3 linked regions of the Caenorhabditis elegans genome follow. The protein of the gene in region 3 purifies or fractionates together with the protein of the main gene of each other region. This does not show direct contact. Each region holds a gene or a part of one and is shown on either strand. Other genes may lie near its edges.

Region 1 (10,402 bases), on a different chromosome or scaffold from region 3:
AGATTCCATCAGCTGACCTATTTCCTGATTTGGCTGATGACGTCATCGAGTTGACGATTGTTTCGTGCAGGTACACGCAGAAAATACTGAAAAAATCGATATTCCCCTCAAATTTTTATTGATTTTTCAGAAAAAAAATACTGAAAAAATCGACCCAATAAAAAAATTTATTTTCAAGAAAAGTCGATTTTTTAAAAATTTTTTAAATATCGACCTTTGGACGAAAAATTGATTTTTCACTGGAAAATCGATAATTTAAAGAGAAATTATTTTTTTAAAAACTGAATTTTTACAGAGAATTTATAATTTCGACTGAAAAGTCGATAATTTGATACTTAAAAATTTTGATAAATTTCATAAAAGTCGATAATTATTTTTTCAAATATTTTTTAGAGAAAAAATCGATAAATTTTGACGAAAATTTGATAATTTCATGGAAAAATCGATAATTTCACCCAAAGGTCGATATTTTAAAAATTTTTAAAAAATCGACGATTTTCTTGAAAATAAATTTTTTGACAATTTTATAATTTGATGTTAAAAAATCAATATAAATTTAGCGCGGAAAATCAAAATAATTCAATGAAAAAACCGTTAAATACATCAAAAAATCGATATTTTCATTTTAAAAAAATCAATAATTCAATCCAAAAATCAATGCTTTTCCACAATATATTTTAAATACATTTTTTTCCACAAAATTTTGGAAAAATCAATAATTTCATCGAAAAAAATCGATAATTTTGTGAGAAAATTTTTTAGAGAAAAAGTCGATAAATTTTGCAGAAATTAAAATTTTGAAAAAACTTTTTCATTTAAAAAATCGATAATTTCATCCAAAAATCAATAATAATTTCATAGAAAAAATAATTTTTTCAGAAACACTTATTTTTGACAGAAATTATTTAATTTTATGAAAAGACCATAACTTTTTTTTTGGAAAAATCGAAAATTTCATGGAAAAGTCGATAGTTTCATAAAATTTTTTTTTTTGATGAAAAATCGATAAATTTTGCAAAAATTTGATACTTTCCATAAAAATCGATGATTCATTCCAAAAATCGGTAATTTCATTGAAAATCGATAAATTTTGTAGAAATATTGTTTTTTACAAACATTTGTTAGTTTTTATGGAAAAATCAATTTTTTTTTAAATCGACAGATTTTTCAACATTTTATTTTTGACTAATATTTGCCAATTTGATGAAAAAATCGATAATTTCATCAAAAAAAAATCAATATTTTTTTTCTTTTCACAGAGACGTGCCCCTTCCATCAGGATATGAAACTCATCATGCAAATCTATTTATTAAATATACATTCCCAGCAGTTGTCAATGATCTACCACAGACTGGAAAAACTAAATTAATTGCCGGAACTGCTTCGCCGGATTTCGGCGAATCGATTATGTTGAATATTGGAAGTGGAAAATCAAGAAATAGCAAACTACAGAGAACTTTTAAGAGAGGAGGTCTCAAGTTTGAGGTATTATCTACAAGAAGAAATCGATGGAATATTTGAAAAAACATTGAGAAAAAATTGATTTAAAAATGTTTTAAAAGGCGATAAATTTGTTGAAAAAATAAGAATAAAATCGATAAGTTTTCAGAAAATTTTCAGAAAAAAAAATGAAAATTTTATATGTTTTTCCTAATATTGATTTTAAAAAATTTTATTTGAAAAATCGATTTTTTTTTTATTCGAAAAGAAATTTTTTTTCCCAAATTTTATAAAAAAATTTCGAAAAATTTAATTTTTTCAGAAAAAATTTAACTATGAATTGTTTTTTTCAAAAAATCGATGAATTTTGGTTTTTTTTTAAATTGAATTGAAATTGATTCAAATAAATTTTCAAATAATCAAAAACACTGTAATATTACTTTTTTCCAAGAAAAAAAAACGGATTTTTCCTAAAATTCGAAAAAAAAATTTTTTTAACCTAAACATTGAATTTTTCAACAAAAAAGTATATCACGAAATCAATAAAATTGAAATTTGATACTTTTATTTTTTTTAATTTCAAAAATTAGATAAATTTGGAATTTTTTACCAACATTTTTTCACACCAAAAAATTGTCTCCCACCAACTTCCAAGCCAATACTTCTTCAAAATCTTAAAACTCGAATTTTTCCAAATCTACCGTAACCCTACAGTAATCCTACAATACCTTAGCTCTTCGAAAATTGTTTTCAAAAAATTAAATTTTTTTGAATTCCTGCCCGCCAAAATGTTTTTTGAAAAGTTTGAAAAGGGAGAGACAATGTTCCCAAAAAATCGATACAATTATAATTTTTTTCAAAGTCGAAAAATTGTTTTTTTCTTCAAAACATTTTCCAAAAATCGATAATTTTTCAAAATTTTCAGGTATTCCAAAAAGGTGGATTCATGCGGAGCGACAAACTTTTGGGCACTTGTGAATGGAAATTGGAGAAGCTGGAACATAGTGCTGAAATGGAAGAATCACTTCCATTGAAGGTGATTATCGATTTTTTTTTGTAATTTATTGATTTTCTTCAGAAACATCAAATTATGAAAAGAGCAATTTTTTAGTGTTTGTAGATCAATTTTGAGTCCTCTAACTTCAAAATGAACCATTTTAGAGAAGTTTCAAAATTGTGATTTTTGCCACTTTTTTGCCATTTTTAATGTTTTTTGACGGGTTAAACCTAGTTTTTCTGAATTCTGCATATATTAATTACCCGTTTTCAATCAATTTAGACAACTTTTTATTTTTGCCCATTTTCATTTTTCAGCCATCTAATGACTGTACTTTTTTTTTTCTTTGGGCAAAATTTTTTTTTTTTTTTTCAAAAACGTACTGATTTTAACGGAAAATTTCGAATTTCCGATAAAAAATTAGATTTTTCGTAAAATTTTCTAATTTTTCTCGTTTCAGGACGGCCGTAAAGCAGTTGGTGGTCTCTTGTCGGCGAAAGTTCGAATTCGTCAACCAATTGGTGATGCAAAAGCTCAACATATTGCCCAGAAATGGCTCATTTTAGATAATTAAATGGATTCTTTCTACTTGATTCGATGTTTTAAATGTGTTTTTTTTTGAATATAATATAAATATTTGGTTTATCGGAAGAGTTAACGACTTTTTAATTTTTTCAGAGGAGTAACATTTATATATGCTGAATTTAGAAAAAAGTGGCAAAAATGGCAAAAAAAACGGCAAAAATCACAATTTTGAAACTTCTCTAAAATGGTTATTTTTTAAGTTAGAGGACTCAAAATTGATCTCTAAACCTTAAAAAATTGCCCTTTTTCAAATATTGATGGTTTTGTACGTTTTCAGAAAAATTATTTTTTTGCCTAAATTAAAAAAAAGGACAGTTAGAGGACTCAAAATTGATCTCTGAACCCTAAAAAACTTTTTGAAATTTTCGAAAAAAAATCTGTTTTATCAGGCTCTGAGACAACACGCATTCATTAATAATTACGAGCATTATATTTTTGATAAAGAGAGAGCATCATGAACAATTGTGTATGAAAAGATTTATATTAAATAAAAAGTTTACATTAAATAAATAAATGAAAATTATTTTTTTTCGAAAAATATGAAATTATCGGTGAAAAATCGTTAAAATCCGGCCAAAAAAGCGGAAAATTTGCGGAGAAGGCTGCCCATTTCAGCGTAATCGGCAATTTTGATAGCATCTTCCAATTCACACCATTTCCAATTTTGATGTTCATGAGATAGTTGAACGTCGTCTGGATTGTTGAGCTTGGCGAGCCAATATTTCACTGATTTTGGCTTCCCTTTTGCCTGTAAATTTAGCGAAATTTGGGATTTTTTTTAGTGTTTAGTTCAATTTTCAAATGAAAAATCGATTTAAAAAATATGTAAATTCGCTGAAAACCCAATTTTTTATCGATTTTTTCTTTCAAAATTCGGAAAAATTGCGTTTTTTTCCAGAATTTTCCCGGAAATTTTGCCATTTTTCCTAAAAATCGATACATTTCACAAAACCAAAAAAAAAATTTTTTTCAGTGTAAAAACCTGGAAAAAATTGAATTTTCAGGGTCTTGTGAAAAAAAAATCAATTTTTTTTACAAAATTTACGAAAAAAGGAAATTTCTTTCGTTTTCGCCGGTAAATATCGATTTTTCTATCAGAAAATCGAAAAATCCCGAATTTTCCCAAAAAAAGCTTAAAATGGATAAGTTTTCCGAAAAAATCGATATTTTCGTGTTTTTTTCCGCAAAATTGCAGAAAAATTGAATTTTTGGTGAAAAATCGGAGATTTTTTTCAAAAAATTTTTCAATGAAAATTTAGTTTTAGAAAAATCGATAATTTGTTGATTTTCTAAAATAAATTATCGATTTTTCCATTTAAAAAATTCAAAAAAATTCAAAAAAAAAAAAAATTCAAAAAAAATTTTCGATTTTCTATTTAAAAAATCGATAATTTATTTTTTTTTCGAAAATTCGCACAAAATTATCGATTTTTCGGGTTTTTAATCGAAAATTTCGAAAATATCGATTTTTTTTCGAAATTTTTTAAATCGATTTTTTATTAAAAATTCGAAAAATTCGAAATTATCGATTTTCGCAGGATATTATTTAATTTTTAATTTTTTCGATTTTTCCATCGGAAAAACGATAATTTATTGATTATCGAAATTAAATTATCGATTTTTTCATTAAAAAATTCGAAAATTTTGAATATATCATACTTCGCCGGAAATTATCGATTTTTCCATCAAAAAATCGATAAAAATTATCGATTTTCTTACACACACACACACACCTCATAAAAGAGTGTTTCATGACAATCTTCATGAATTGTCAGTTGCTCTTTTGTAATATTAGCTTCTTCCTTAGTCTCACGAATTGCCGCCTGCCATTCATCTTCTCCTGGATCCACGTGACCTTTTGGTGGGGTCCAGTGATGTGGTGGATAGGAGGCTTGAAGCAGGAGAAACTCGATTTTTCCCGCCAACTTCCGGTAGATCACAAGTCCCGCGGCTTTTACGACCATTTTTTGTTGGCGCTGAAAAAAACTGGATTTTTTTTTTTAGAAAATATCGATTTTTTGTTAAAATTGGATTAAAAAAAATAGGAGCACACGACAAAAAGCTCCAAATTTTGAAAAAAATTAATTTTAGGCGTAAAATGGCGGGAAACTCGAAATTTTGATCAGAAAAATCGGAATTTTTTTTCAAAAACATATTTTCGGTAAACTTTACGCTGAAAATTTCAAATTTTCGAGTTTGGTGCTCCGAACGCAACTCAGCGCCCCAGCAGAGCCGAAAAGCTGCTCTTTGGGCTTCAAATCGGAAGTTTATAGCTTCCTATTTGGAGCTCACAGAGCAAAAGCTTCTCGGCGCTGCTGGGGCGGTTTTGTGCAATTTTAAGGTGAAAATTTGAATTTTTGACTGAAAAATCCAATTTTTTTTGGCAAAAATTGAGAAAAACTGAAAAAAAAATTCGAAAAGGACGTTTAGACGGCCTAAAAATTTTTTTTTCGGTGAATAATTGGATTTTCCTAAGAAATTTTGCTACAAAAATTAAAAAAAAAAGAATTTTCTGGTTTTCTAGAAAAAATATAGAGAAAACTTCTAGTTTTTTTCAATTTCTGCAATTTTTATAGACAAATTGATTTTTGGAAACATTTTCGCGTTTCTGAATTACTAAAAAACATTTTAAAAATTAGAAAAAAATTTTGGAGTACTGTAGCTCTAAAAGTACGTCAAAACTGTAGCTTACAAGAAAATGAACCAAATTTCGAAAAAAGTTGATTTTAGGGGTAAAAATGGCAGGAAATTCGAAAATTAGTTTAGAAAATTTCAGAATTTTCCAGTTTCTGCCACCGAACGCAACTCTGCGCCCCAGCAGAGCCGAAAAGCTGCTCGTTGGGCTTCAAATCGAAAGTTTATAGCTTCCTATTTGAAGCTCACAGAGCAAAAGCTTCTCGGCGCTCACGTGTAGTCAAGCTGTCTCATCGGTGTTTTTCGGTGTATTGGCCGCAAACACGCGGCGCATAAATTGACGCGCAAATGCAGACAAGCGGGCAGGATTTACGAGAGATTGTGATTTTTATTTTATTTTCTTTCATTCCTTTAAAATATAACTTTTTGTCATTTTTAAAGTTAATTTTTTGTTGAAAACTGGTCTATGGACCACCACGAACTGGAAAAGCATTGTTAGCTCGTGCAGTTGCTCATCACACTGAGTGCACATTTATTCGAGTTTCCGGCTCCGAGTTGGTGCAGAAGTTTATTGGAGAATAAACACGAATGGTAAGTGGATCGACATAATAATCTTTACATTTACAATGCTTTCAGGTGCATGAAGTCTTCGTGATGGCTCGTGAGCATGCTCCATCGATCATTTTCATGGATTAAATCGATCCAATCGGACCAAGCAGAGTTAAAGAATCTAGTGGAGGAGATTCGGAAGTTCAGAGAACTATGCTCGAGCTGATCAATCAACTCGATGGATTTGAGGCAACGAAGAAGAGTATTAAGGTAGGGAAAATGCAAAAACTTTCTAATTTCTAAATATATATGTTCAGGTTATCATGGCAACCAACCGTATCGACATCCTCGACACCGAGCAAATTCCTGGAGCATCGGGAGCCGAAGTCAAGTCAGTCTGTTTCGAGGCTGGTATGTTTGCGCTCCGTTAGCGACGTATTCATGTGACACGAGAGGATTTCGAGATGGCTGTTGGAAAGGTTATGCAGAAGGATTCGGAGAAGAATGAAGAATATGTCCATTAAGAAGAAGAATATGTCCATTAAGAAGTTGTGGAAATAAGGATACATTTCGATTTTTTATCAATTACCCCCTTTTCACTGATTTTATTGTAAAAATGAGCCCCATTTATTTATTGAAATTTAATTCCCTTCACTCGTCTTCGACCAACCTACCGAGCACTTTTTGCTGAATAAATAATACAATCTGGATGATTTATTCGAGTAAAAAAATCTAAATTTTTATTTTTAACATGAAAAAGCATTTATTGTTTCCCATATTCGTCGGAAATCTCTCCATCTTTGTGCATTGAAATGAGAATATCACATCCGCCGACGAACTCTCCCTTCACATAGACTTGTGGAATTGTTGGCCATTAGCTGAAGATTTTGACGCCTTCTCTCAGCTCCTGATCGGTCAGAACGTTGTAGTCTTGGAATTTTACATTGTGGAAGTCGAGAACCTGAAACGGAAATTTGATTTTAGGGATTTTCGGATTATTATAAAGAAAGATCCCCGGATCTATATCTAACCTCGAAGCGGAGGTTCTTGATGAACTTGGCGTCGACTTCCTTCTATGGAGAGGAAAATCTTTGGCTTCGTGATTCCAATACGGTGAGCCGTGTTGTTCTGGTTGTGATTGGTGTGATTCTTCGACTTCCATGCATCGTGTTGCCTTCAAAATTTGTACTTTTCACTTTGCAATTCGATTTCAACACAAACCTGTGTGAGCTACTTAAACTTCTCACTCTCTCTCGACGATCTCGAACTCTCCGATCTGCCCGCGCTCACTGAGGCCCGGAAACGGACGAAACCCTGAAAAAAACGCTGGTTAGATAAGGAAAAGACGGATTGAGAAAGTATAGAACCGAAAAGTACATGTAAAGCTTATTAACATTATCGTTTTCATCGAGAACATATATGAAACGGCTTCATTCGCCCAACAATCCGTTCTCTCACGATAATTCTTAAAACTAAGCGGAAAAAACGAAAAATTGGGTCGATTGTATGAAGTAAAATACGAATTAAACATAATGACACAATTAAATTCGAAAAATTCATCTGAAAACTACTGAAATTCAATTGAAAATGCGATAAAAAGCAGAAAAATATTGAAAAAATAAATTGCGGCCATCGGCAGCAAAGCTGCTCTATTGCACTCTCGCCTCTGTGACGTCACGATTTTTTTGAAAAAATTTTCCGCATTTTCTCGCGATGAGTCGCAATGAGACAGATTGACACCACGTGGGCGCTGCTAGGGCGATTTTTAGATTTTTAGTAATTAAATTATAATTTTTGAAACCAAAAATTGACATTTTTCTCCCAAAAAACTCAATTTTAGGTTTCAAAAATTATTTTTAAAAACACTGATAAGGCTTATCAGTGAGAAAATTTACCAAAAACAACAAAAAACCATGTGAAAAGATATGAAAAGCGTGTGTAAACAACGCAAAAAGCACCGAAAATCAATAAAAAATAGCGAAAAATAAATAAAATCCAATTTTAATATAGAAAATCAATAAAAAATCAATATTAATTAACTAAAAACAGAGAATGATCAGGTCCAAGTGCAGCTTTTCGTACATCTCCCGGCAGAAATAATTGATAAGGGAATAATTGACGTTTTTGATGTCCGAGGCCTAAGCTTGAATATCGATTTTCTCCCCAAATGAATAGTCGGCCGTCTTCATTGATTGCAGACATACAGCTGTTGCCGGCAGAGACAGAGGTCACCTGAAAATTTGAAAATTTTAAATTTCCAGGCATTTTTTGCTTTTTTTTTGGAAATTTAGCGTTAGTTTTGAGATTTTGGGTGAGAAATGCTTTAAAAAATCATATTTTTAAATTTTCCGAAATACTGTAGCCCCAAAAGTACGCAATTTCTCGTCAGGGCACCGGATCCGACGACAAAATGCACAGAAACTTAAAATCACGCAAAAAACGTCGCGCTAGGGGTAAAAAGGATCGCTGAACTCAAATTCGATGAGGAAAATTGGTGAAAAATTCTAATTCCGGTAGAAAATTTCAGTTTTTCGAAATTTTTTTCAAGTTAAAAACTTGAAATCCCAGTATTTTCGACATTAAATTTGAATTCGCCGTCATTTTCCACTCCCGGGGGCTTTTTTCTGGGCTTCTAACGCCAATTTTGAGTATTCTGGGGTACTGTAGCCCCAAAAGTACGCAATTTCTCGTCCGGGCACCGAATCCTCAGCCAAAATGCACAGAAACTCAAAAATAACGCGAAAACCGTCGCGCTAGGGGTAAAAAGGGTCGCTGAGCTAGAATTTGTTGAGCAAAATTGGTGGAAACTCTAGATTTCAGTTGAAAATGGCATTTTTAAAGATTTTTTCAGTTGAAAACTTGAAATTCAAGTATTTTCGACAAGAAATTCGAATTCTCCGTCATTTTCCACCCTCAGGGCTTTTTTCTGAGTTTCTAGCGTTAATTTTGAGTTTTTGGGGTACTGTAGCTCCAGAAGTACGCAATTTCTCGTCCGGGCATCGGATCCTACGACAAAATGCACAGAAACTCAAAATCACGCGAAAAACGTCTAGATAGGGGTAAAAAGGTGCGCTGAGCCCAAATTCGAAGAGAAAAATTGGTAGAAAATTCAAATTCCATTTGAGAATTGCATTTTTGAGTTAAAAACTCAAAATTCAAATCTTTTGAACATGAAAATCGAATTCTGCGGCTTTTTTTAATACCGGAAATTGTTTTCCGCGCTTCGAAAGCTAATTTCGAGTGTTTCCAGTTACTGTAGCCCCAAAAGTACGCAATTTTCAGCCAAACCTACGCCAAAATGCACAGAAATTCAAATTTTCGCGGAATCTGTCTAGCTTCCACATAAATAGGGGTAAAAGGGGTCGCTGAGTTTGAATTTCCACATGAAAAAAGGTAAAGGTAAAGGTTGTCCGTTTGGTTCAAGGGTGAGCCTAAGCATCCTGCGGACAAGAGATTTATCAGGGTTGCTGGTGGCGTTTATATCTCTTCTAGTCTGAATTTAAGCCGTACCGGGACTAGCCGTATGGCCGATTTACCTTTCGTGAACCAAATTCACTACCCACTTTCCGAGCCGGCTGGGTGAACCTTTGGGGTGAGGTGGGATTGAACTTGCGACCTCTTGGGTGACAGCGGTACACCACTACCACTTAGCCACCCGTGCCCCTCGCTAATTTCGAGTGTTTCCAGTTACTGTAGCCCCAAAAGTACGCAATTTTCAGCCAAACCTACGCCAAAATGCACAGAAATTCAAATTTTCGCGGAATCTGTCTAGCTTCCACATAAATAGGGATAAAAGGGGTCGCTGAGTTCGAATTTCCACATGAAAATTCTCATAAATCACCATTTTCCCATCAAAAAGCGGTTGATCCATTTGCGTGGGCGTTTTGAGAGATTCCGCTTCAGGACCCATTCCAAGTACTCCAACACCCCAAACAAAGACATTTCCACGGGAATTTCGTGCCACAACAGATGACTGTGTACTATCAACACAAATTATAGGTCCCAGCGAGTTTGCCACGTGGCGTGACGTATTCAATTGAATCTCATCAGTTGCTCCAGCCGCTTGACCGTACTCCGTTTGTCCCCAAATGAAAATTTCGCCGTTTTCACTACAGGCAAGTAGGGTATCCGTGGATCCTGACACTTTTTGGATTTTCGAGCCTTCCACGTCTCCTCGAACTTTTGCCGGTTCCCATT
Region 2 (10,647 bases), 5.8 Mb from region 3:
ATCCGAAGAGTCTCTGAAGTACTATCACGACTCTCAAGTCAAATGATGAAAAACTAACGAATAAACTGTAGTTTCGAACTTCTATAATGTTCCGATACAAAAATAAACATTCGATAAGGTTATTTTTAGAAAAAATTGGTTTTGGTCAATGCCCCAAATTATGATAGAAAAGTTTTCATAAAAAGTTATTTAATTTTACTAGTTTCAGGCGTTGCAAATTCTCCTTCCAATCGAAATCTGCAAACAAATCTGTCATCCTAATCATTTGGGTTCTGTCAATGTGAACTACTCGACAAATGGACAAAAACGTATGTCTTTCTCTGTATCTGTCTCTCCAAAATTCATTATTTCAGAGGAAACAAAACCAGGAAAAAAAGATAATCGATATCCAGAAGATGTCACATTTCCACCATCTGATATTGAACGTGTTTATGACACGATGGGAGGTAAGAATCAGAACTCGGTTATTGTTTAGTTGCCATACGCTCCAATTTTCGGCAACCAGCAACTTGGTTGCCCTGGTGGTCAGATAGACAGGGAGTAGGTATTGAGGGGGGTTGTGCAAGTCGGCAAAGCCGTAAGATGTAGGGATGAGGTGGACACGTACGCAGGCAGGTGTGAAGTAAGTATTAGGTAGGCAGAAGGAAAGGGACTGGTGAAGTGTCTGTCTATTTCTTGCAAATAATCGAAATCAATTTTCAGATGAAGATACTCGTAAATCGAAGACTATGACACTTGGAACTATTGAAGAGGTTTGTATGTTCACTCGAGTGTTTTCATTCATTTCAATCAATTTTCAGCCTGCTCCAAAATCGGCCATGCTCAGCTTACAGAAGACACCAAAGGAGAGTGAGACTGATCTGGTTCGTTTTTTATTTTTCGAAATATTTTTTAGCTTTTGTAGTACTCCAAGATCTTGAGCAAAAGTACAACCAATTTTTCAGAAAAAGACATTGCCACGTTCTCCTCCTCCAATTCCGAATCGTAAGCAGCCGTCTCGTGAGATCATGTTGACTCCGAAGCAATCTACAAAGACTGCAAATGCTGGAGGAAGAAGCAAGGAGCCGTCGTTGAATACTGCAATGAGCCAAGAGGCAGGAAATATCGAACCACGAAAGACTCCGAGTAAAGATACAATTGGAAGTACTGGAGTATTGCCATCAAATCAGGATAAGAAGACTCCGAGCAAGGAGAAGGAAAGTGTTAAAAATGTAAGCAACTGAAGAATGGTCCATGATGTTTTGTAATGCTCTTTTTTCAGACACCTGCTCCGACCCCGAAGCTAGGAACTGCAGAGCCCATCTGAACTTTATAGATAAATAAATGCTGCTTTGAATTTTTTAATTGACAATCATTTACTAACTATTAACATCACAACCTCAAAAAGCTCTGAAAAAATGAGCTTCAAAATTCAAAACAATATTCAAGTAATTAAGAAAATCAGCACTTCGAAATAGCAGCTTCAACTGCATTTCTGATTGTTGTCATGGCGACAGATTGATCTGCAGCTTTGATGATTCCAGTTCCACTCACGATCGCATTGGCTCCAGCTTGAGCAGAGATTTCAATATTTTCAGGTGTTACTCCTCCGTCAACTTGAATAGTCAGATTTGGATATTTTGAACGGATTGTGCGAACCTGAAAGCCATAAATTTTATTCGTATCAAATAAAAACCAAAATAAATACCTTTTCCATCATGTTTTCCATGAACTTTTGTCCTCCAAATCCTGGTTCCACAGTCATGATAAGAGCATTATCCAAATGATTAGCATGTCTAAAAAGTTTTTTAATTTAAAATCTAGATTGAAATATAATTTTGATTTTACTTCAAAATATGCTCAACAGAAGTTCCCGGTTTGACCGATAATCCCACTTTCATTCCACTTTTTCTGATTTTTTCGATCAATTCACTGACTGCCACATCACCATCTACAGCCTCATAATGGAATGTGAACTGGCTGGCACCAGCTTTTGCCATCGGTTCAACCCACTGTCCAGGATTAGAGACCATCAAATGAACATCGAAGAATGGTTCAGCACCAAGAGATTTACGAAGAGATTCAACGACAGGGTGACCGAATGTGAGGTTTGGTACAAAGTGACCGTCCATCACGTCGAGGTGAAGCCTGCAAGTTGGGAGCTGGATACTATGGGAACGCAGAAAGTAAATCCTTTGAAAATCCAAGTGGAAACGTTACTTACTTACTGCTAAATGAAAACGCTCCGCCCCTCGAACCATGGGTCTCATTAGGTATTGACATTGATAGTTTAAGCGTTTTCAATTAGTCCTGCCAATTTGTGTTTGAAGATGAAAACAATTTCAATTTGCGATTTTGTGGCCAAATACCTAACGAGACCGTAATCTCGGGGGGTCGGAGCGTTTCCAATTGGCCGTGGAGTACGTTTCCATGTTGATTTCAGAAGAGGTTTTTGTGCGTTCCCATTTAGATTTTTGAAATCTAAAGGGACATTTAAATATGAAAGTAGTTGTCAAAACTATTCAGAATTTCTAAAGATCACCTTACCAATCTGCTCCAGCTGCTAAAAGTTTCTTGCATTCAGAAGCCAATGATGCAAGATCGGCATTCAGAATTGATGGACACACAAATGGACGGAGGGTCATCTGAATTCTAGATAAATAAATTTTATCATCCAGAATCAATGAACAAATAAAGTTATAGAATTAAACTTTCAACTGTAAACTTTCAAAAAAATCTTTAAATAATACTTTAATTCATAAATATGTATACCCAATTGTTTCACATCGAGAAAAAAACGAAAAAGCCAAGAACTCCATTATACTCGAAAGATTACAAAACGAGAAAATTATTTACAAGTAAAAATTAGAAAAACGGTGAGGAATATCACAATGAAAGTGGTGTGCGTTGTATGAAGGGACAAGGGAATAGTACAAAAATCGATTATTCTTATCATTCAGTTTCTATTTTTCATTGACACAAAGTAATAACAACTCGAAAACTTGATAAAAAGTTACGACTGCCGATTGTTAAATTTCTTCGAAAAATACGAAAATCGGAGTTCGAAAAAGTTTTTGAGTTTTTTTTTGATATTTGAAACTGATTAATTGATAATCCAGAAAATTGTAAAAATAAGGCACGATGAGATGACGGCAGCAAGGATCAGTGTGTTCTTCTGCTTTTTCGTTTTGATTTTTTGCATCAAATTGTTAATTGCAGGATATTTTTCTAAAAAAAGTTGTTTTGATAATTATTATGCAGCTTGTAAAACTGTTTTTCAAAAATGTTGAGTCTCAGTTGAAAGGAGGAATTTTTTTTTGAAATTTTTTCGGCTTTTTGGAGAAATTCTAACTTTTGTTTTTCGGTCCAAATTTCAAATAAATTTTTTGTTGTTTTTTTTTAAAGATTTTTTGTCAAAAAACTGTATTGCAAGAAATTTGAACTCAAGTTTATTAGGTCTAAATTAATCTAGATTGACGATTTCAAAAAAGATCGGGTGTTTCAGGAACATTTTTATCAGAAATGTTCATAAATACTTAGATTTACTTTAATTGTTTCCCTTTTAAAGATAAATTACTTGAAATATGATGAAGCCGAGTTGATATTCCACGTAGATTAATTCCCTGTCTGGCCATATTCTCTTTCGTTGACATTGCCATTTCTAACTGTTCATCTAACAATCGATCACAAGCGTTTATATGGTCATTCTCCTGAAATTAAATTAATTAGTACTACTTTCTTGAAATTCTTCCCAAAAATACCTTCAAATACATATCATATCCACGAGCCCTGTTGTTCAGTATAGGATTATTACGATTTTCATTTGAACTGCTCAACAAGAGTTCTCTGAATAATATCGTATTGTTTAATTTAAAAAAAGTATTTTTCATACCTCTGTAATACCTGATCAACATTATCTCTTGCACGTCGATACTCACTACCGTAATCTCGAAGAATTTCTCGATGTCGTCGAAGTGTGTGTTGAATGGCTGGATTATTAGCCCAAGATGCCGAGGATTGAGCACCAGCTACGTCATTCATCTGAAGTTGACGAATTTAAAAACAAAATTGAAAATAAACTAACATCATCATTGATATTTGTCAATTGCTCTATCAATCCTTCGATTTCTGTTGTCACTGTTTTGAAGCTCGTTTGTCTTGAGGAAACTGTTTTCTCGTCGATGTCAAAACCGCCTGAAATATTTTTTCAATAGGAAACATGTTTATTAAATATTTTTCTGAGAGACATGTTCGAAAGTTGGTTATTCAAACGCCAAAAATACTGTACCCGGTCTCGACACGAAAATGTTCTTTATAAATGCCCTTTTTGGTTTTTTCATTAGTTTCTTTTTCTTTTTTAAAGTTTTTTTTTCAGAATATATAATATTTGGGTTTTTCAAATAAATACATATATTTTTTTTGAAACTTCCGCATCAACACAATTCAGAAAGTGCAGTACTCTTCAAAGGCGCACACTTTTTTGTATTTTATGAAAATGTTTCGTGTCAAGACCCGGTATCGTATTTTCTGAGGATAAAATCGTAAAATTCTTGGTAATACTTACCATGAGAGCTAGCCGTTAATTTATTCAGGGAGACGAGCTTGACATCGATGGAATTTTCTGTGCTTCGGGCTTTCTTCCGCAACGCTTCCCAAGTTTCTGACATTCTGTGTTCCTGAAAGTATTGTTTTTTCGAGTGACTGAAATGTTGGTCACTACTATGAGAAATAAATATATTCATCGATATTTTGACGATTAGAAAATTAACAACAAATAAAATTAAACGGAAGTTATGAGTAAAACTTCATTCAAAAACTTAAATTGAATTAAAAAAGAACGAGATTTTCCAATAACGATTCTACGATTGAATTGATTTCGAACAAAACAAAGTTTTCCAGCCAATTGTGAATCAAACTTCTTCGTCATCACTGATATCTTCCATATTGACCGTTACTTGAACGTTTTTGTTGTTACGACGACGTTGTTTCCTGCTGGGACCTTCAGCTGAAAAAAATATGTGTATTACCACTTTGCCATTTTTGATAAGAAATTACTGGATCCGGTCATGGCGCGACAGAAACATTTATGAACTTTTATGGATTACTGTAGTTGCGAATTTTCCTTGCTATTTATCTCGTTTCTTTGATGTGATCACATCAAATACTTTTAAAAATTATTTTATTTAATATTTGTTTTCAAAGAAATTTTAAGAGCAATGTCAATGAAAAGGCAGATAAAGTATTAAATAACTGGGGGTGGCGAACTACTGTACTCTTGAAAGGCGTGAGACCGGGTACTGTAACTTTGCATCAAAACTCGATTTTTTTGCAACTATAGACCTATAGGTTATGATTGAAAAAAGTTTTTTGTTTGATTACCTGGTTGAATACTTCCTGCTCTACTTTGATCAGCCGATCGCTTCAATGGGCCTGGGCTTGAAACTGAAAATAGAAAGTATGAGGATATTTGAAATAAGAAGATTTGGGGAATCAGCTGGGAATTATTTGAATCAGGAATGAGTATATTCAGCCCAGTAATTAAAACCAACAAATTTTGATTTTATGCTTCAAAAATCGTTAAATTATCGAACAGGTATTATACATCTTGGTAGGTAGGCATGCGTGGTTTGAAGGTCTAGGTGCCTGCCTGAAACCTTCCAGCCTCTCGCCTCTTTCTGCATTCTGACATTACTTTACGAATTTATATTTTGTAATTTCAATCAATTTAATGTGAATCAAATTGAGAAATGAAAAAATTAAATTCATGTGTATTTTAGCAGAAGGCACCGGTTTGAGGCGCGAGGCAGGCATTTTGACGCCTACGTGGAAGTCCAATGATGGGGAGTAGAAATAGTCAAATTTGAAGATTATTAGCGTCAGAAGTTCTAATCGTAATTTTTGGAAAAACCCTCTGTTACGATTTGAATACTGACTGCAAAAATAACCAAAAAACATTATGAAAGAGAGAAAAATCGAAAATCCAAGAAAGAAAACGCGTCATCATGTGAAATCGTTTGTCTGTACCTTCTTCGTAGACTCTTCCCTGTCGTCTCGCTAATTCTCCTCCCAGTCTCTTCTTTCTTTCGACTCGTTGTCCATAATAGTGAGAAGCAGCGGGATCCTCGTTGATGCTTATCGACCGCGAAGTCGAAGAATAGTTGCCGCCAACAGATGGATTTTTAGATTCGTGATGGGAACTGTATTCTCGATTATCATAGTTGTGCTGGCTGAAAAGAGGGGATAATAGAATATCAGTTAATCTGAAATTCTACAAGATATGGGGGGGGGGGGGGTTGAATAGGGGGAATAAAAGTAGAAAACAAAATATATTTCCTCAAACTTTTTTGTGAATGGACACAAAATGTTTCACAAAGCCTAAGCTTGATGTAATTCTAAACGAGTATCTCAGAGCTTTACAGATGGCGATTAGAAATCTCAAACGATCGATTATAACATTCTGAGCCACAATTTTCCCATTTTCAAATATTTTCGTTCAGAGTCTTTCAATGATTAGCCAGAACGAATTCAGTTACTTCAGAACTAGAGGTCACTGTCCGATGTTTCTGAATTCGAAAGAAACAATGAAAAGTTGAAAACTGTGATCGTAATCGAAGGTTAATTTCAATTAAATAATCAAAGAAAAATCAATTGATTGTTACATCTCAAAAAAATTAGACGAATATATTGGGAATTTAGTGGAATCTCTCATATCAACTTATCCTTCAAAAGAGAAGGCAGAAAAATATGAAAAAAAACAGGAATATGGGATAGTATTAAAAAAGGACTTGTTCAATTATTTCAAAAACGTACCCTGTATGACCCGCATGAGTTCTACCATTCTCGAAACATTCTCTATCTCTGAGCTCTCTTTCCCTCAGCTCCATCAATTGCTGCCTCTTTGCCAATTCCATTTCTCGATGCCGAATTTCAGCTTCCATTTGCATATGCATTTTCTTCGCGTTGATCATATGAAGCTCTTGCTCAATTTCCATAAGTCTTTTTTGTCTCAAAAGTTCATCTTCGGAAGCTTCCAAAGGTTGTGAATGGAGAGAAGCAAGAGAAGCGGAAAATTGATTCGTGTTGAAATCTTGATTTACTTGCTGATTCGGTTGATTATATTGTGGAGTTGTGTAACCATTAATTGCTTGATTTATCAAATCTGGAACCATCGGAGTATATTGTGAAGACTGTTGATATGAAGAAGAAGAAGATGGAGTTTGATTTGGAAAAGAAGAATATTCTGATGTCTGGTACGATGGGAAAACATTGGAAGTTCCAGAAGTTGGAACGGTTGAATAGTCACTCGTGGCAGATTGTGGGTTCCAATGGTTTCTTGTTGGATCATCATAAGCAGATGCCGAGGATTCAGATATTGGTTCGTGCACTGCAACACCAAACGAAATGACAGAAGATGTTGATGTTTGTGTTGGATCCGTAGCTCCACCATATACAGGAACAGAACTCGACGAAGATTCCAATTGACGAGAAAAATTGGCATATTCTGATGGTTGATATGGCTGATAAGTCGTAGAAGTGTCTGGAGTTGATGCAAGGAAAGTCGAATATCCATTTGTTGAAGGATCGTAATTCCATTGACTCTCGGTGTTAGGCCTGAAATTATACTTTGAAATTTTGTAATTAATAATTTTTTATTCAAAAATTGCTTTCTTTATTTTAATCGCTCGATTGTCAACAGGGCTGATAAATTTTTAATTTTTGACACAAAAATCCCAAAAAAACACTTTCAGTAAGTACATTAAACACTTTTCATAATTTGCAATTTTTTAAAAAAAGAAAAATGTGGTTTTTTAATAGTCTTCTCGAAATCTATAAATCTTTAATAGACTCTACTTCTTTTTGGTTTTTTTAAACCAATTTAAATGTTTTGATTTTCGTATTTTTTTGGTCCAAGATCAACACCTAAAATTTTTTTGTAATTTTTTCCCCAGCCCTGTTGTCCGAACTTGTAAAGTTTTTTAATCACGACTTACCAAGTATTTCCGATATGTTGATATCCTCCGGATCCTTCCGAACCTTGATAGTTCGACGAAATATCAAAACCACCATTGTAATCTTCTCCCGTTCTTTGCTTGAATGATCTGGCTTTTTCATCAAATTTGATATCCATCAGTGGTTTGGCGTTTTTGTTTTTTTCCTGATTTTTCATCTGTTTCTTTTGATTAACATTCTGTTTCGGCGGAACAGCTTCCATGTGTGCTTGTTTTACCACAATATTGGCGAGATGAGGTTTATTAGCTCTTTTCATAAATGTTTCCTTGTTGAGAAGCCATAGCAATCTGCATTTGAACTTTATTCTGCCTTGATGCTTCGTTGTATAAGTCGGAAACTGGGGATCACTCTGTAGAAACGTTTATTTTAAGGTAGAGTTTTCAAATTTGGCTTAAAATGGATAGCAATGATCGAATAAAACTGTTTAAAAAATTATGAAATATACCAAAATGTTTAGTCTTTTTTTTTGTGCAAGTTTTTAATATTTTTGCGCTTTCAGTCTATATTAAAAAGGTTTTTTTCCGTTTATCTTAATCTCTTGATTTGCGACATAGTTCGTCTATTTTTCAGAAGTCTTTCCGTAAAGAAACCTTAATAACTATAAAACTTCGCTAAAACTTCAAAATTGCCATTAAAAAAGCTATAATTTTTCTATTATAAAAATGTTTGAAAAATTGGCAAACTGTGTTTTGAGTCAAATATTACAGAAAAATGGAGAAAAATCGATAAATATAGCCAGAAAACGCGAAAATCTCAAAACATTCAACTAATTTTTTTGAATTTTGAAAAATTGAATTTTTTTGAATAATAGAACTTTTTAACAGTTATATTAGATAATTAAGGTCCATATTCTGCCATTTAAAGCGAATTTTTAATTTTACTTTAAAGTAGTAAATCAAAAAAAAACTTACCAATGTATTCTCTTCAATATGGATCTTCATTGCCTTTTTCTCCAGTAAAGTGAGTTTAGCCTCCTCTTCTGCCACAAAAAGCCCGTTCATACTTGCCGGTTTACCAGTATCGGTGATTCTGAGAAAAACAAAATAAAAAATGAAAAAATTAAAGACTTTCTCACAAATTTTTCAAAAACTTGTTGTTTAGATTTTGTTTTTGTTTCTGTTTTTGCTTTGGTGGTTTCGGAGGTTTTTCCTTCCTTTCTTCAGGCTTCTCAGTAGAGTTGACCACAGTTTCAGTTGAATTTCCATCGGTCTCCTTGGGTTTCTTGGGAATTCGCGCAGATGGGAGTTTGCGTGCTTCAAGTGGAACTCCGATAACTGGGATTATCTGGAAAACATTTTATATCGATTATTCATTTTCTATTTTTTGTCTAACATTTTCAAAAAAAGTTTAATGATTTTTTGGTATTAAAAACAATTTATAATTTAAAAGTTATCGCAAGTTGTGAGTAAACAGAAAAATTACCTTATTATCCCATTCCGATGACATTTTGGGAAGAATATTCAGCTGAAATTGTGAAATTAAAGCGTTTTCTGTAGTAAGTACAGCTGTGCAACAGACTTTACGACACCGCCCGCAAACACTATGACGTCACGACGCACCACTTTAACGTGGCAAAGTTTAGAAGGGAACAGTTAAAAAAATATATAATAAAGACGATTTTTCAACGTCTACAAGTTTACAGGGAAAAGAAGGGAAAAATTATAATTTATTCATTAGTTGAACAAAGCATAACATTTATAACACTAGTATTAAAACATTTACAAATGGAAATCGCCACTACATTCCTTCTAGTCATATTCCATTCCTCCGTGTTGATATTGATTTTTAGGATACTTCTTATTCCCACCGCGACTCTTTTTTGGGAATGCTGAAAATGAAACTTGCTTGCAACAAACCAAAGTTATGTCTTATTACCGGGCTTAATTTTTCCTTGATAATGATGGGAGTCAACCGGCCGATTCCAAGAGGATGAACCTGGAAAACATCCAACTTATCAGGAAAAGGGAGTACGTTTCAATAAATAGTAATTTGAATATTGAAAATGATCAACTGCAAAAATTCAGATATGAAAAATTTTGTAGTTACAATTTTACTCACAAGAAAATCACACCTCGAAATAAAATTTCCAAAGTTGAATTCAAATGTGCAATGGTGAATTGTTTCTTCTACAGTACACCACATAATATAGTTATTGCTCCTGTGGTCTTAATGGTATGATTGAATAATCAAAACCAAGCCGAAACATTAGCATCACGAGATAATTGTATCTCCACTGAGAAACAAAAGCTCAAATATTGGCAGGCTCTACAGAATAATAGTACCAATTAGAAGATTCGGTTAAACACACGAATCTAACTTGGGTACTGTTTTTTTTTCTAAATTTACACTTTACTATAATCATATTCTTTCAAAATATTTAGTGTGGTATATGTTCTGTACCTTCGCGTGCTCCATGATCATCGTCATAATACTCATGTTCATCTACATCGAAATTTTGCCCTGAGTGATGTCTTCCACGGCGCCGAGAACCGAACGAGTTCGGATTTTTATTAGCTTTCATCGGACGGCCATCTTGATAATAAAAGTCATCCTGTGGATGATGAGAATCGTGATAGGAGGAGTGATGATTACTGTAGTCTGAACGGCCACAGTATTGAGAAGCATAGCTGGAAATTTTCTCACTTTAAAATATGGTCT
Region 3 (11,404 bases):
ACTTTTTCACCAAAAAAGTTGAATTTTGAAAACCTCAAAACTTTTTCAGCGGTCTCGTTATGAAAATCAGGTAATTTCAGCATCTAAGCAGCATATGTATCATGTTTCAGAAAAAGTTTAGGTTTTGTATTCCCGTAATCCATCATATTACAATGCCCACTTTCACCGCTGGTTGCCCACTGAATACATAATTTTTTTACTTGAAAATTGTTTTAGCATCTGCGAAAAGTATTTATTTATCAGTTTTAATAAGAAAAAACGGGAAAAAGCTGTGAAAAACAAAAGAAAACAGGCGGAAAACAAAGCAAGATAAATGGCCGATGAAACTTGTCGGACCTCGGCCATGGCCTAGAAACCACTTTTCCTCGTCCCTCGTGAGGAAAAAGTTGCAGTGTTATAGGGTTAAATTGCTCCAAACGGCCCCAATATATTGGTGAATTTTTAGGTTTTTTTTTCTTGGAAAAAATAATTGTTTTTTGGCGAAAAATCGTATTTTGCTAGTTTTTCGAAAAAAAAATTTTTGGAATTTCCACAAAAAATCTTGTTTTTATTCTGGTTTTTTAAATGGTTTTTTTTCACAAAAAAATCGATTTTTTAAAAGGCTTTTTGCAAAAAAATTGAATTTTTTGGAATTTTGGCGAAAAATTGTTTTAAAAATTTATTTTATTTTATTTTTTATCAAAAATTTATTTTTTTTGGTATTTCAGTATTTTGACGGAAAATTGACTTTTTTTTGACAAAATATTACTTATTTTTTGGTTATCTTGGCAAAAATTTATTTTTTCGGAATATTGGTCAAAAAATTGATTTTGTTTTTGGTTTTTTAAATGGTATTTTGATTTTTTTTTCTTGGTTTTTTGAAAAAAAAAAAGATTTTTCAGTATTTCCACAAAAAATCTTGTTTTTATTCTGGTTTTTTAAATGGTTTTTTTTTTCACAAAAAAAAATCGATTTTTTAAAAGTCTTTTTGACGGGGTAGGTATTTAATAATATATTTAACGAAGAAGTTTTTTTTTTTAGGTTTTTGTTTACTAAAATTTTTACTAAAAATGGATTTTTATTTCAGTATTTTGATGAAAAATTGAATTTTTTGGTATTCTGCCAAAAAATGATTTATTTTTTTATTTTTTTTTTTAGCTTTTGTTTTTTTTTAGTGTTTTACTTTGACGAAAAACTGATTTTTTTGTTGGTTTTTTTTTGGTTTTTCGAAGAAACATCGATTGTTTTTTCTAAAAATTGATTTTTTTGGGTTTTTTTTTGTATTTTGAAGAAAACATTGTTTTTTTTTGTGGTTTTCAATAATTTTTTCTTCTAAAAAGTTTAAAAAAATGAAATTCGACTCAATTCGACATAAATAAAGCTGTTTTTTTTCAAAAATATACAAAAATAAAAAAAAATACACTGTGCAAAACACTTTTTAAAATTGAAAATTTGCCTTTTTTACGACTTTCAGCTGGTTTTTTGAGGGTTTTCAGGTACCCAACTGCAAAATTTCACGATTTTTTTTCTTTAAAAAAAATCCGAACTTTTTCAATTTTATTTCTTTTCATTTCTTTTTTTGCTGCATTATCTAATTTTATTAGATTCATAAAATTGAAAAGAGGCTACTGCGCACACCAAAATTTGTCGTGTCAAGACCAGAAAAACTGTATTTTTTTTGGTCGAAAAACGTCGATAATCGCGAAAAATTTCCAGTAATTTTGAAATCGAGGCTAAATTAAATTTATCCCGTACAAATTTTGATCGAAAATTTGAAAAAAAATTTAAAAATTTTTTTACCTTCCATTTTTTGACAAAAAATTGATGTTTTGTTGGTATTTTGACGAAGAAGTGATTTTTTTGTTTTTTTTTTGTTGGCATTTTGCCAAAAAATTGACTTCCTCGGTATTTTGACGAAAAACTGATTTTTTTGGTTTTTTTAAGATTTTTTGACCGAAAATGGATTTTTTTTGGAATTTTGATGAAAAATTGAATTTTTGGTTTTTCTTTTGCTAAAAATTTTTTTTTCAGGGGTTTTGGCATTTTTACAAAAAATTTTGCCCAAACTTTTCTTACCAAGCATCGAATTTTCGCATATGCTCAAATGAAAGCCTATGCAATTGTGTTTCACTTTTTCTTTTTTTATACTGCATTTTGTATTTTATTAGCTTCACAAAAATAAAAGGAGTTCACCAAAATTTGTCGTGACAAGACCAGGAAAACGGGCTTTTTACGTCGAAAAAATTTCCAGTAATTTCAAAATCGGGGCTAAATTAAATTTATCCAATACAGTTTTGGTCGAAAATTTAATTTTTACCTTCCATTTTTTGACACAAAATTGATTTTTTGTTGATTTTTTTTTTTTTGAAAATTTGTTTTATCAAGACCAGGAAAACTGTATTTTTTCGTCGAAAAACGTCGAAAATCGCGAAATTTCCAGTAACTCCAAAATCAAGGCTAAATTAAATTTATCCCGTACAAATTTTGATCGAAAATTTAATTTTTACCTTCCATGCACTCGCAATGTGAATCCAAATAAGTCAACACTTCTCCAGTAGCGACGGCAGCTCCACGAAGTCTTGCTCGAATCAATCCCTCACGCTTCTCCATTCTCAAAATCTTGACTTTTCCACCAAACTGTGACATGTATTCTTCCAACGGACGTTTCGTGTGATCCATATCCGAAAAATCATCAACCAGCACAACTTCTTCCAGTAAATGATCGGGAGTACGTTCAAGAACCGAGTGTACTGTTCTGAGAAGCACTGACCATGCTTCATTGTGGAAACAGATGATTACAGACGTTCGCGGCAGATTTTCATTGTATTTTTCGGTTTTACATCTGCAAAAAAAGAAATTAAATTTTTCCAAATATTGATTTTTTTTTCTTTGTTTCTCTAAAATTATTTTGCAGAAAAAATGCTTTTTTGTACAGAATTTTTTACTTTTTTTCCGTTTTTCTCTCAAAAATACAGAAAATTCGAGAATTTTTAAGTTTTTTTTTGAACTTTAAAATGTTTTTTAAGAATCAGAAAAAGATAAGAATTCCAGCCAAAAACTGCAAAAAATAGTCCACGTGTAGTACAAAATACTTCGTAAATCGACAACATTTTTGTAAAAGAAATTTCTAGGTTTTCCTATATTTTTTCTGATCAAAATGAGCAAAAATTTGAAAATTTTTTGGAATTTTAGCCAATTTTCAAAAAAAAAATCGTTTTTTTTCCGGAAAATCAAAAAAAAAATTGATTTTTTCTTTTTTAGGATTTTTTTAAATCGACTTCTCGTTTTTTTACAGATATTTGCAAGAAAATCGATTTTTCGATTTTTTTTAAAGGAAAATTATTTGGAATAAATCGATTTTTCGTTTACTTCAGTTTTTAGGGAAATTTAAAAAATTTTTCGATTTTTTGTTTTTTTTTAAACAATTGTTTTAAAAATTCGATTTTTTTTTCGTTTTTTTTTCGGAAAATGAAAAAACGTCGATATTTTCGATTTTTCGGAAAATCGAAAAATTTAGATTTTTTGTTCTTTTAGAACATTTTAAAAATTTCGATTTTTCATTTTTTTTAAGGCAATTCTTTTAAAAATTCGATTTTTTTTTTCGTTTTTTTTTTTCGGAAAATCAGAAAAAACTTCAGTTTTTTAAATGAAAAACAAAAAAAAAATTGATTTTTTCTTTTTTAGGATTTTTTTAATCGACTTCTCGTTTTTTACAGATAATTGCAAGAAAATCGATTTTTCGATTTTTTTAAAAAGAAAATTTTTTGAAAAAATTCGATTTTTCTTCTTTTTTTCCGGAAAATCACAAAAAAACTTCAGTTTTTTAGGGAAATTTAAAAAAATTAATTTTTCGATTTTTATGAATTTTGGAATAAAAAAAAACCCACTCAGCATCAATATTAGTTGGCAAAGTTCGATGTACTGATATCATATCAGATGCGTATTGATTAAAAGCGTTGTTGAGCATTCCCTTGTCGTATTTTGCCTTTTCTTCGGTCGATAGTTTCTGAAAATTAGAAAGAAAATAAAGTTTTTTTTTTTCGTTGATTTTAAAGGCAAAACATCAAAATTTCGAAAAAAAAAGAACTAATTTCCACTAGAATCTTAGATTTTGGGGGCCGAAATCGGCCTAAAATGACCTAGAGTGGCTAAAAAATGATCGCGAATTGGATAAAAATGACTAAAAATTACCCAAAATCACCTAAAAATTACCTAATGTGACCAAAAAAAAAAATGAAAATTCGGCCAAAAATTACTAAAATTTCTAAATTTTGCTAAAAATACCTAAACGGACCAAAAATAATCAGCAGTCGGTTGAAAATGACTACAAATTACCGAAATTGGCCAGGAATGTCGAAAATATTTCATATTTAAAATAACTTGATATTTAAAATATTTTAGACATCATTTTTAATCATTTTTGGCCAATTTTCGAAAATTTCCGAGCACTGAAGTGATTAAAAATGTCTGAAAAATGACCAAATTTGGCCCAAAATAGGCGAAAAATGACCAAAAATGACATAAATATTTAAAATATTAAATATTTTAGAAATTTTTATTCATTTTTGTCCAATTTCAGTCATTTTTGGTGATTTTGGACCAAATTTGGTAATTTTTTAGTCTTTTTTTTAATGACTAAGCATAATCGAAAATCGGCCAAAAATGATTAAAAATGACCGAAAATATGTACCGTATTTCTTCTATTAATATGGCTGCAATAATATTTTTCGATGGTCTTCCGCTTGCAATACTAATAGGGAGTGCAAGACTATTAGGGAGTGCAATACTAATTTTCAGAACATTTTCTGACTTTGAGCTTACTAGTTTTTTTCCTGAAAAAACTCGAATCTTATGTGAAAATTCAGAAAATTTGATTGTAATTGCAACAAAAAGGTACAATAACTTCAATTTCATAGAAATTTTACCAAAATTGTTGCAAAGTAGGCAAAAAATGTTGTTAAAATCTCAAAATTAGTAGGGTGGGTTTGTACCAAAAAAAAAAAGTAGATGCAAGACTATTAGGGAGTGCAACACTAACTGCAATACTAATTTTCGGAGGGTTTTCAAGGAGCAATACTAATAGGGAGTGCAAGTCTAATAGGGAGGCCATATTAATAGAAGAAATACGGTATATTATATACATTTTAATCATTTTCGGCAAATTTCGGTCATTTTTAGTCATTATTGGCCAATTTTCGGCAATTTCCGAGCGCTGAAGTGACTAAAAATTTCTGAAAAATGACCAAATTTGACCAAAAATGATTAAAAATCGGCCAAAAATGACAGAAATTGACCAAAAATGACCAAAAATAACCAAATTTGGCCTAAAATTAACTAAAATTACTTAAAATGATGGAAAATCAGCCAAAAATCAGTAAAAAATGACCGAAATTGCCCTAAAATGATTAAAAATCTATACGGAATATTTTCATTTTTAAAATCATTTTTGGTAATTTTTGGCCAATTTAAGTCATTTTTGGCTCATTTTTTTCGCAATTTTGAGAATTTGAGCACATTTTGAGTCCACAAGTTCAAAGAACCGTTATTCCTCAAGAATAATCAAATTCTCACAGTTTTATCGACGACAACTGCCTTTCCAAGCTCTCCGGCTTGCGCTGCGTCTCCTTTTTTATAAATCGGATCGTTCGGATCGACCATAAATTTTGGTTTGGCCAAGTTCCCGCCGGGTTGCTCTTCTTCTTCCACTTTATTATTCTCTACGACAGGTTCCGGCTCAATCGGCGGCCCAAATCCTTGAATTACGTCTTGTTTCGCGGCTTTCGGGTGGAAATTCGCCTCCGCAATTTTATTCGCGAGATCGTTATTTGATCCGATCTGAAAATGGGATTTTAATCACATTTTTATTTTTTTTATTTTTGATTTTTGATACCTGGCTACTATCATTGCTGGTTGCTGCGAAAAAAATCAACGAGCAAATCCAAAAAACTGGAACCAAGAGGAGAACTTTTAATATCGCCTTTTTCTTGAATATAATCATTTCTCAGCGGCAAAATCGACCCGTATCTGCAAAAAAATTAATTTTTGATTAATTTAATTGGGAAATTTCTCAAAATATTTCGATTCAGCTCAGTAAAAACCAGTAAAAACTAAATTTTTCGACAAAAACTCCAAATAAGGACACATCGTCCACGTGTAGTACACGGGTGGTGACCTAGAAACCGACAACTACGTACTACACGTGGACAAAATCGGTGGAACATGTTTTTGGCAGGAATATGATGGAAAAACTATAATTTTCAGGAAAACTAATAAATAGCAACAAAAAAATCAATAGAAATTCGAAGAAAAATCAATATTTTCTAGTTTGACCTCAAAATGATCAAGTTTTCAATGTTAAAACAGATTTTTTTAGTTAGTTTTTTTCTTTTTTTTTCTTTAATATTGTTTAATATGACACTTTTCAGATTTTTGCGTCAGAAATACAGATCCAGGTCTCGACACGACAAATCCTTGTACTCATTGAAGGTGTGCGCCTTAAAATTAATTTTTCAGCTTTTTGAAATTTACTTTAGATATTTGATAATTTAATAGATTTTCATCGAAAAACTAAAAAATCAATAAAAATTCCGCAAATGAACAAGTTTGAAATTACAGTACTCTTTAAAGGCGCACACCTTTTTTCAAACATTTGTCGTGCCGAGACCCAGGGTACCGTAACCTACCGAAAATCCTCCGTTTTATGCTTCAATATCCCTCAATTTTGATAATATAAGTTTGCTGCCTGAAAAAAAACGAATTAAATTGTGAAAAGTAGTAGTAGTATTGGAAATTCGAGTAAAACAAGGAAATTTATAATGCAAACTTTTTCGGACCCAAGGCATACTGAATTCAAATTCACATTAAAAATTTTAGGTTGACGTGGACAATGACGATGAGCAGCAGCATGCAAGGCATGTTAACGATAATATTTGAACAGTTGGGAAGGGAAGGGAAGAGGGTGTATAAGAAGAGAGCATAGAACAGAACCACTATCTTTTTTAGCTTCTCTAATACCTCTTACTCTCTCTCTCTCACACTATATTTACTTTTTTCGGTGGTTTCGGTCAAGTTCAAATGTGCTCGAGAACTGTAATGTTTCAAGTTCGCAATGAGTCACGATTTCGATTTTCCGTGTATCCTAGAAATTTTGTGAGAGAAATAGTTTTAAATGACTCCCTGATTCCGAATATCTAAGTGAAAAAATTCTAAAAAATTTCCCTGATATTATATTTCAGCTTAAAATCGCGATGTGTCGATTTACGAGATTTTCAATATCTTCATTTTCGTCGCTTTTTTCCAAAGTTTCGTTTTTTAAGGTCAATTAAATATTATTTTGCCAAAAAACTAACAAAATTTCCATTTCTTAGGTCAAAACTCGACGAATTCCACGGAATTCTGGCTGTTTGCCGAACTAGGCCATTTTGGGTCGGAGAGATTTTGTGTAGATTTACGGCGCGTTGCGTGTCGCGTCGCGGCTCGTTTTAGTTGTAAAACTGAAGTTTGCTGTCCGTGAGGAGTACACGACACTTTTCCACGCGCTGTCCGGCAGGCGATTATCAATGGAGCGCGAAAATTCAATGAGAAATGCCCAGAACCCCGTGGACGAAAAATCCAAATATATGCTTTTCCCGCCTAAAAATCACAAATTTTGTTAGTTTTTTTAATGATATAACAAAAAAAGTGACCTTAAAAAAAGCACAGTTTTTTTTTTCACTTAAATATCGGAATCAGGGAGTCATTTTAAAATTGTTCTAAAAAGATTTCGATACTCCACATTATAAAATTTTTTACGTCAAAAACATCATTTCCCCCTTATCATCCATCTTACCATTCACACCCATTTTGCTCAAACAGACGCCCACGCCCTTTGCATACTTCTCAAATGGAAACTTCTATTGATAGTGAACCCAGAAGACAAAAGAGAAACGTGGTCATAACTGGGGGGAGTTGTTTGCTGGTTAGAAGAGCCCCGGACGTGCTCAATTGAGCATGACGAATAGGTTGGAGAAGAGAATGTCAGAGACACCTACTTGTAGTGAGAGGGGAACGAAAATGTCTATAGGCTAGGCTAAACTACAAATCATCTTATTTTTTCGATTAATGAAGAAAAAAAATATTTCGAAAAGGGCTTATGTTTGCAATTTTACTACAAAAATTCTGGAATTTCTAGGAAAAATGAGAACGCGAAAAAAAATTATTTGAAAAATTCATTTGGCGCGGTGAGACCCTTTCCAAAATTACTTTGTGCGAGCGCCTTTAAATTGATCTTAGAAAAATTGTTATTGTTTTCTTATAGTTACTAAGTAAGTAAGTAAGTTCTACTCGGTCACAAATTAGCTATAAAAATCTGTAAATTATAAGAAAATTTGAAAAAAAAACATTATACAGTAATCTTAAAGGTGCATACACAATTTTAATTCGAATTCCCGCCGAAATTTTTCTGAAGAAATTTGAATTCCCGCCAAATTTTTTCCATAGTAATTTGAATTCCCGCAAAAATTTTTCCATAGAAATTTGAATTCCCGCCAAAATGTTTCTAGAGATATTCTAATTCCGCACGTGGTGTTAAAGTGTCTTATTTTGGTTCGATCTACAAAAATGCGGGAGAAGAGACGCAGACTTTTCAATTAATTTCTAATGGTTAAGAACGTGCTGAAGTCACATTTTTTGGGGAAAAAATCCCCCATTTTTGTAGATCAAACCGAAATGAGACACTTTGACACCTCGTGATTCCGGCCAACTTTTTTCTGAAAAAATTTGTATTCAGTTCCAAACAGGACACCAGAAAAGCACAGAAACCACGTAGCACCACACAAAAAAAACAAAAAAGGAAACAAATGAAAGCCATCTCACTCGACGACCCGCTTTCCGTTTATGCTAAAAAAATAAAACAACGTGTCACTTTTTTGCCTCGCGTCCCTTATTTTTATGTCTGACATGCTCTCTCGTCAATTTTTGCAAACATTGCAATTTACGAGCGTATATTGCGGAGCGGTCTCCTGCACCAAATACATTGTACAGTTTAGCAGAAACGAGGGAAGTGGAAACTTTGGAAGGGGAGCTATAAAAATTTGGGTACATTTGCGCTTTCACGCGGTGTCAGAGTGTCTCATTTTGGCTTGATCTACGTAGATCTACAAAAAATGCGGGAGATGAGACGCAGAGTTTTTAACTGATTTCGTATGGTTAAGAACGTGCTGACGTCACATATTTTAGGGCGAAAAAATCCCGCATTTTTTGTAGAGCAAACCGTGATGAGACAGCCTGGCCGCACATGCGCTTTCAGAAAAGAAAAGTATGAACCAGAAAGGAAAGAATTCCGTATTAGTCATTGGATGCTTTATTGTACAAAATTCAATGGAAGATGGATACGGTACTTTTTTTTGAAACACTAAAATTAATTTCCACAAGTCATAACTTATTAAAGGCACACGGATTTATTCAGATGGGTCTCGACGCGCAAAAAGTTTCCTTGTTCATTTTACTTGTATTTTTCCGTTTCAGCGAATTTTGCGCACCGAGACCCATCTGAATAAATCCGTGAGTCTTGAGATTACGATATTTACTCTTACTATTCTTTCAAATTTTTCAAGAATTATCGTAGAATTGAGTTTTTGTTGCGTATTTTAGAAGGTACAGTAACCCAAATTAAAATTCATAAAGTTAGATCGTGGCGAGACCTAAAACATAATGCACCTTTAAACTGATAAATTGCAATATTAATTTTTTGAATTTTTTTTGAATATTTTTTTTTCAAAAATTTAAATACAAAATTTGATGTTCTCGTGTTACCCAGTTGCGAAAATTTTTCATCCGGGTCTCGCCACGAAACTTTGCATCTACCGAACTCACAATTTTCTGTTTTAAATTAAGCTTCCGCTCAATATAATAAAAATGCAAAAACTTATGGTAGCTACAAAATTTTTTTCGTTTCAAGACCAAATACCACAAAACTCACAAAAAAGGATTACGGTAGATGAATGGAAATTATTAACAAAAAATTATCACAATGGAGATTATCACAAAATCAGAAACCATATACTTCGCCACATCATGTATGAATATTATTGAATTGATTCAATATATGTGGCGGTGCTGTGGGAACTGAATAAAGAAAAAAAAGTACAACATGCGACAGATTTTGTGCAGAAAAGAAAGTGGAGAAGAAGGAACAACAAGAGAATACTAAAAACCACATGTTGTTTCATAAATTTCAAAGCTTCAGTATTAGTTCGGGGGAGGGGGGGGGGGGAGCTCAGTGCAGACAGCTGAGTAGACCAGACCTTAATCTATCAAATGGAGTGGAAAATTAGAAAATATAGGTTTTCAAATTGCAATAGTAGACGCGCAAAATATCTCAAAGCGAAAACTACAGTAATTCTTTGAATAACTACTATAGCGCTCGCTTGTGTTGGTTTTTGCAGGAAAATCATAGAATGACTACTGTAATTTTTTTTTGTATTTTATCATTTTCATATTACGGGAAAATAAAATTATGAGAATGCATATTACACAACATATTTGGCGCGCAAAATATAACTACCTATATCTCGTAGCGAAAACTACAGTAATGCTTAAATGACTACTGTAGCGCTGGTGTCGATTTACGGGCATAATTTTTGAAATTAATTTCTTTCCCAAAAGTGACAGGGATTCTCCATTTTAATCCGTTTCTTTGTATTATTTTCTAATTTTTTTAAAATTTCAATATTCTATCAAAAAATAAGCACGGCCTGTAAACCGGTACTTCTGGCCTAGAAAAAAGCCTGAAAAATAGAGACGGTCGAAATTTTTTTGTTAAAAATATTGAGTTGCTCAAAAATATAATTTTATATTTTTGTTGTGTAGTTTTATATATTTTATGTCGACAAAGTATTTGAAAATTTTGAAAATTACATGTTTTTTCGAATTTCTTTTAAAAAAATTGATAACTCCGTCAAGTTTCGAAATTTTCGCTTGTTTTAGCGTATAATGAAAGGTTTTTCTATATTTGTGTCGTCGCTTACTAGCTCAAATTTCGTGCCAGGACCCAAAATTGCAGACATCATTATACGTTTCTCAAAGCTCTCAGAGAGCTTAATTTAATTTTTTTAAAGGCAGATTTAAAAAATTCGAACTAGTATTACGGGGACACGAAATTCTGAGATTGCGTATTACACAACATATTTGACGCGCAAAATATCTCGTAGCGAAAACTACAGTAATTCTTTAAATAAGACTACTGTAGTGTCGATTTACAGGTTCCATTTTTGAAATAAATATCTTTTCGAATATTGATATATTATTTTCTTATTTTATGCTTGATTTTAATATTCTATCCATAAATAAATTATTTTAAAAATTACAAGTTTCGAAAATCGAGTCCGTAAGTCGACACAAACACTACAGTAGTCATTTAAAGGATTACTGTAGTTTTCGCTGCGAG

What was found.
Region 1: the proteins of gly-5 (region 3) and ndx-4 fractionate together in Caenorhabditis elegans (co-fractionation; one large-scale study listed by BioGRID). This does not show direct contact.
Region 2: the proteins of gly-5 (region 3) and gos-28 fractionate together in Caenorhabditis elegans (co-fractionation; one large-scale study listed by BioGRID). This does not show direct contact.

The regions. Positions count from the first base shown.
Region 1 is NC_003279.8:13,789,155-13,799,556, forward strand, and holds ndx-4 (Bis(5'-nucleosyl)-tetraphosphatase [asymmetrical]), read right to left. Parts: upstream 4,999-10,402; 5' UTR 4,987-4,998; coding exon 4,756-4,986; intron 3,771-4,755; coding exon 3,585-3,770; 3' UTR 3,485-3,584; downstream 1-3,484. Other genes in the region: ccct-1 (Coiled-coil and C2 domain-containing protein 1-like), read left to right, coding at 1-70, 1,260-1,485, 2,366-2,476, 2,898-3,011; Y37H9A.5 (uncharacterized protein), read right to left, coding at 7,145-7,166, 7,237-7,367; W09G3.7 (Williams-Beuren syndrome chromosomal region 16 protein), read right to left, coding at 8,237-8,437, 10,047-10,402. UniProt on the Caenorhabditis elegans protein: Asymmetrically hydrolyzes Ap4A to yield AMP and ATP.
Region 2 is NC_003281.10:7,344,519-7,355,165, forward strand, and holds gos-28 (Golgi SNAP receptor complex member 1), read right to left. Parts: upstream 4,658-10,647; 5' UTR 4,647-4,657; coding exon 4,544-4,646; intron 4,174-4,543; coding exon 4,064-4,173; intron 4,021-4,063; coding exon 3,872-4,020; intron 3,826-3,871; coding exon 3,741-3,825; intron 3,690-3,740; coding exon 3,557-3,689; intron 3,208-3,556; coding exon 3,083-3,207; 3' UTR 2,716-3,082; downstream 1-2,715. Other genes in the region: F08F8.6 (uncharacterized protein), read left to right, coding at 209-308, 354-446, 703-752, 801-863, 945-1,211, 1,262-1,306; F08F8.7 (Ribulose-phosphate 3-epimerase), read right to left, coding at 1,441-1,638, 1,688-1,775, 1,828-2,127, 2,527-2,624; F08F8.9 (uncharacterized protein), read right to left, coding at 4,890-4,984, 5,359-5,421, 6,004-6,206, 6,790-7,590, 7,971-8,338, 8,901-9,018, 9,065-9,273, 9,412-9,435; F08F8.10 (Nuclear transcription factor Y subunit), read right to left, coding at 9,738-9,817, 9,865-9,924, 10,390-10,616. UniProt on the Caenorhabditis elegans protein: Involved in transport from the ER to the Golgi apparatus as well as in intra-Golgi transport. It belongs to a super-family of proteins called t-SNAREs or soluble NSF (N-ethylmaleimide-sensitive factor) attachment protein receptor.
Region 3 is NC_003281.10:13,182,709-13,194,112, reverse strand, and holds the start of gly-5 (Polypeptide N-acetylgalactosaminyltransferase 5), read right to left. Parts: upstream 6,722-11,404; 5' UTR 6,663-6,721; intron 6,004-6,662; 5' UTR 5,978-6,003; coding exon 5,870-5,977; intron 5,815-5,869; coding exon 5,551-5,814; intron 3,986-5,550; coding exon 3,867-3,985; intron 2,822-3,866; coding exon 2,487-2,821; intron 1-2,486. UniProt on the Caenorhabditis elegans protein: Catalyzes the initial reaction in O-linked oligosaccharide biosynthesis, the transfer of an N-acetyl-D-galactosamine residue to a serine or threonine residue on the protein receptor.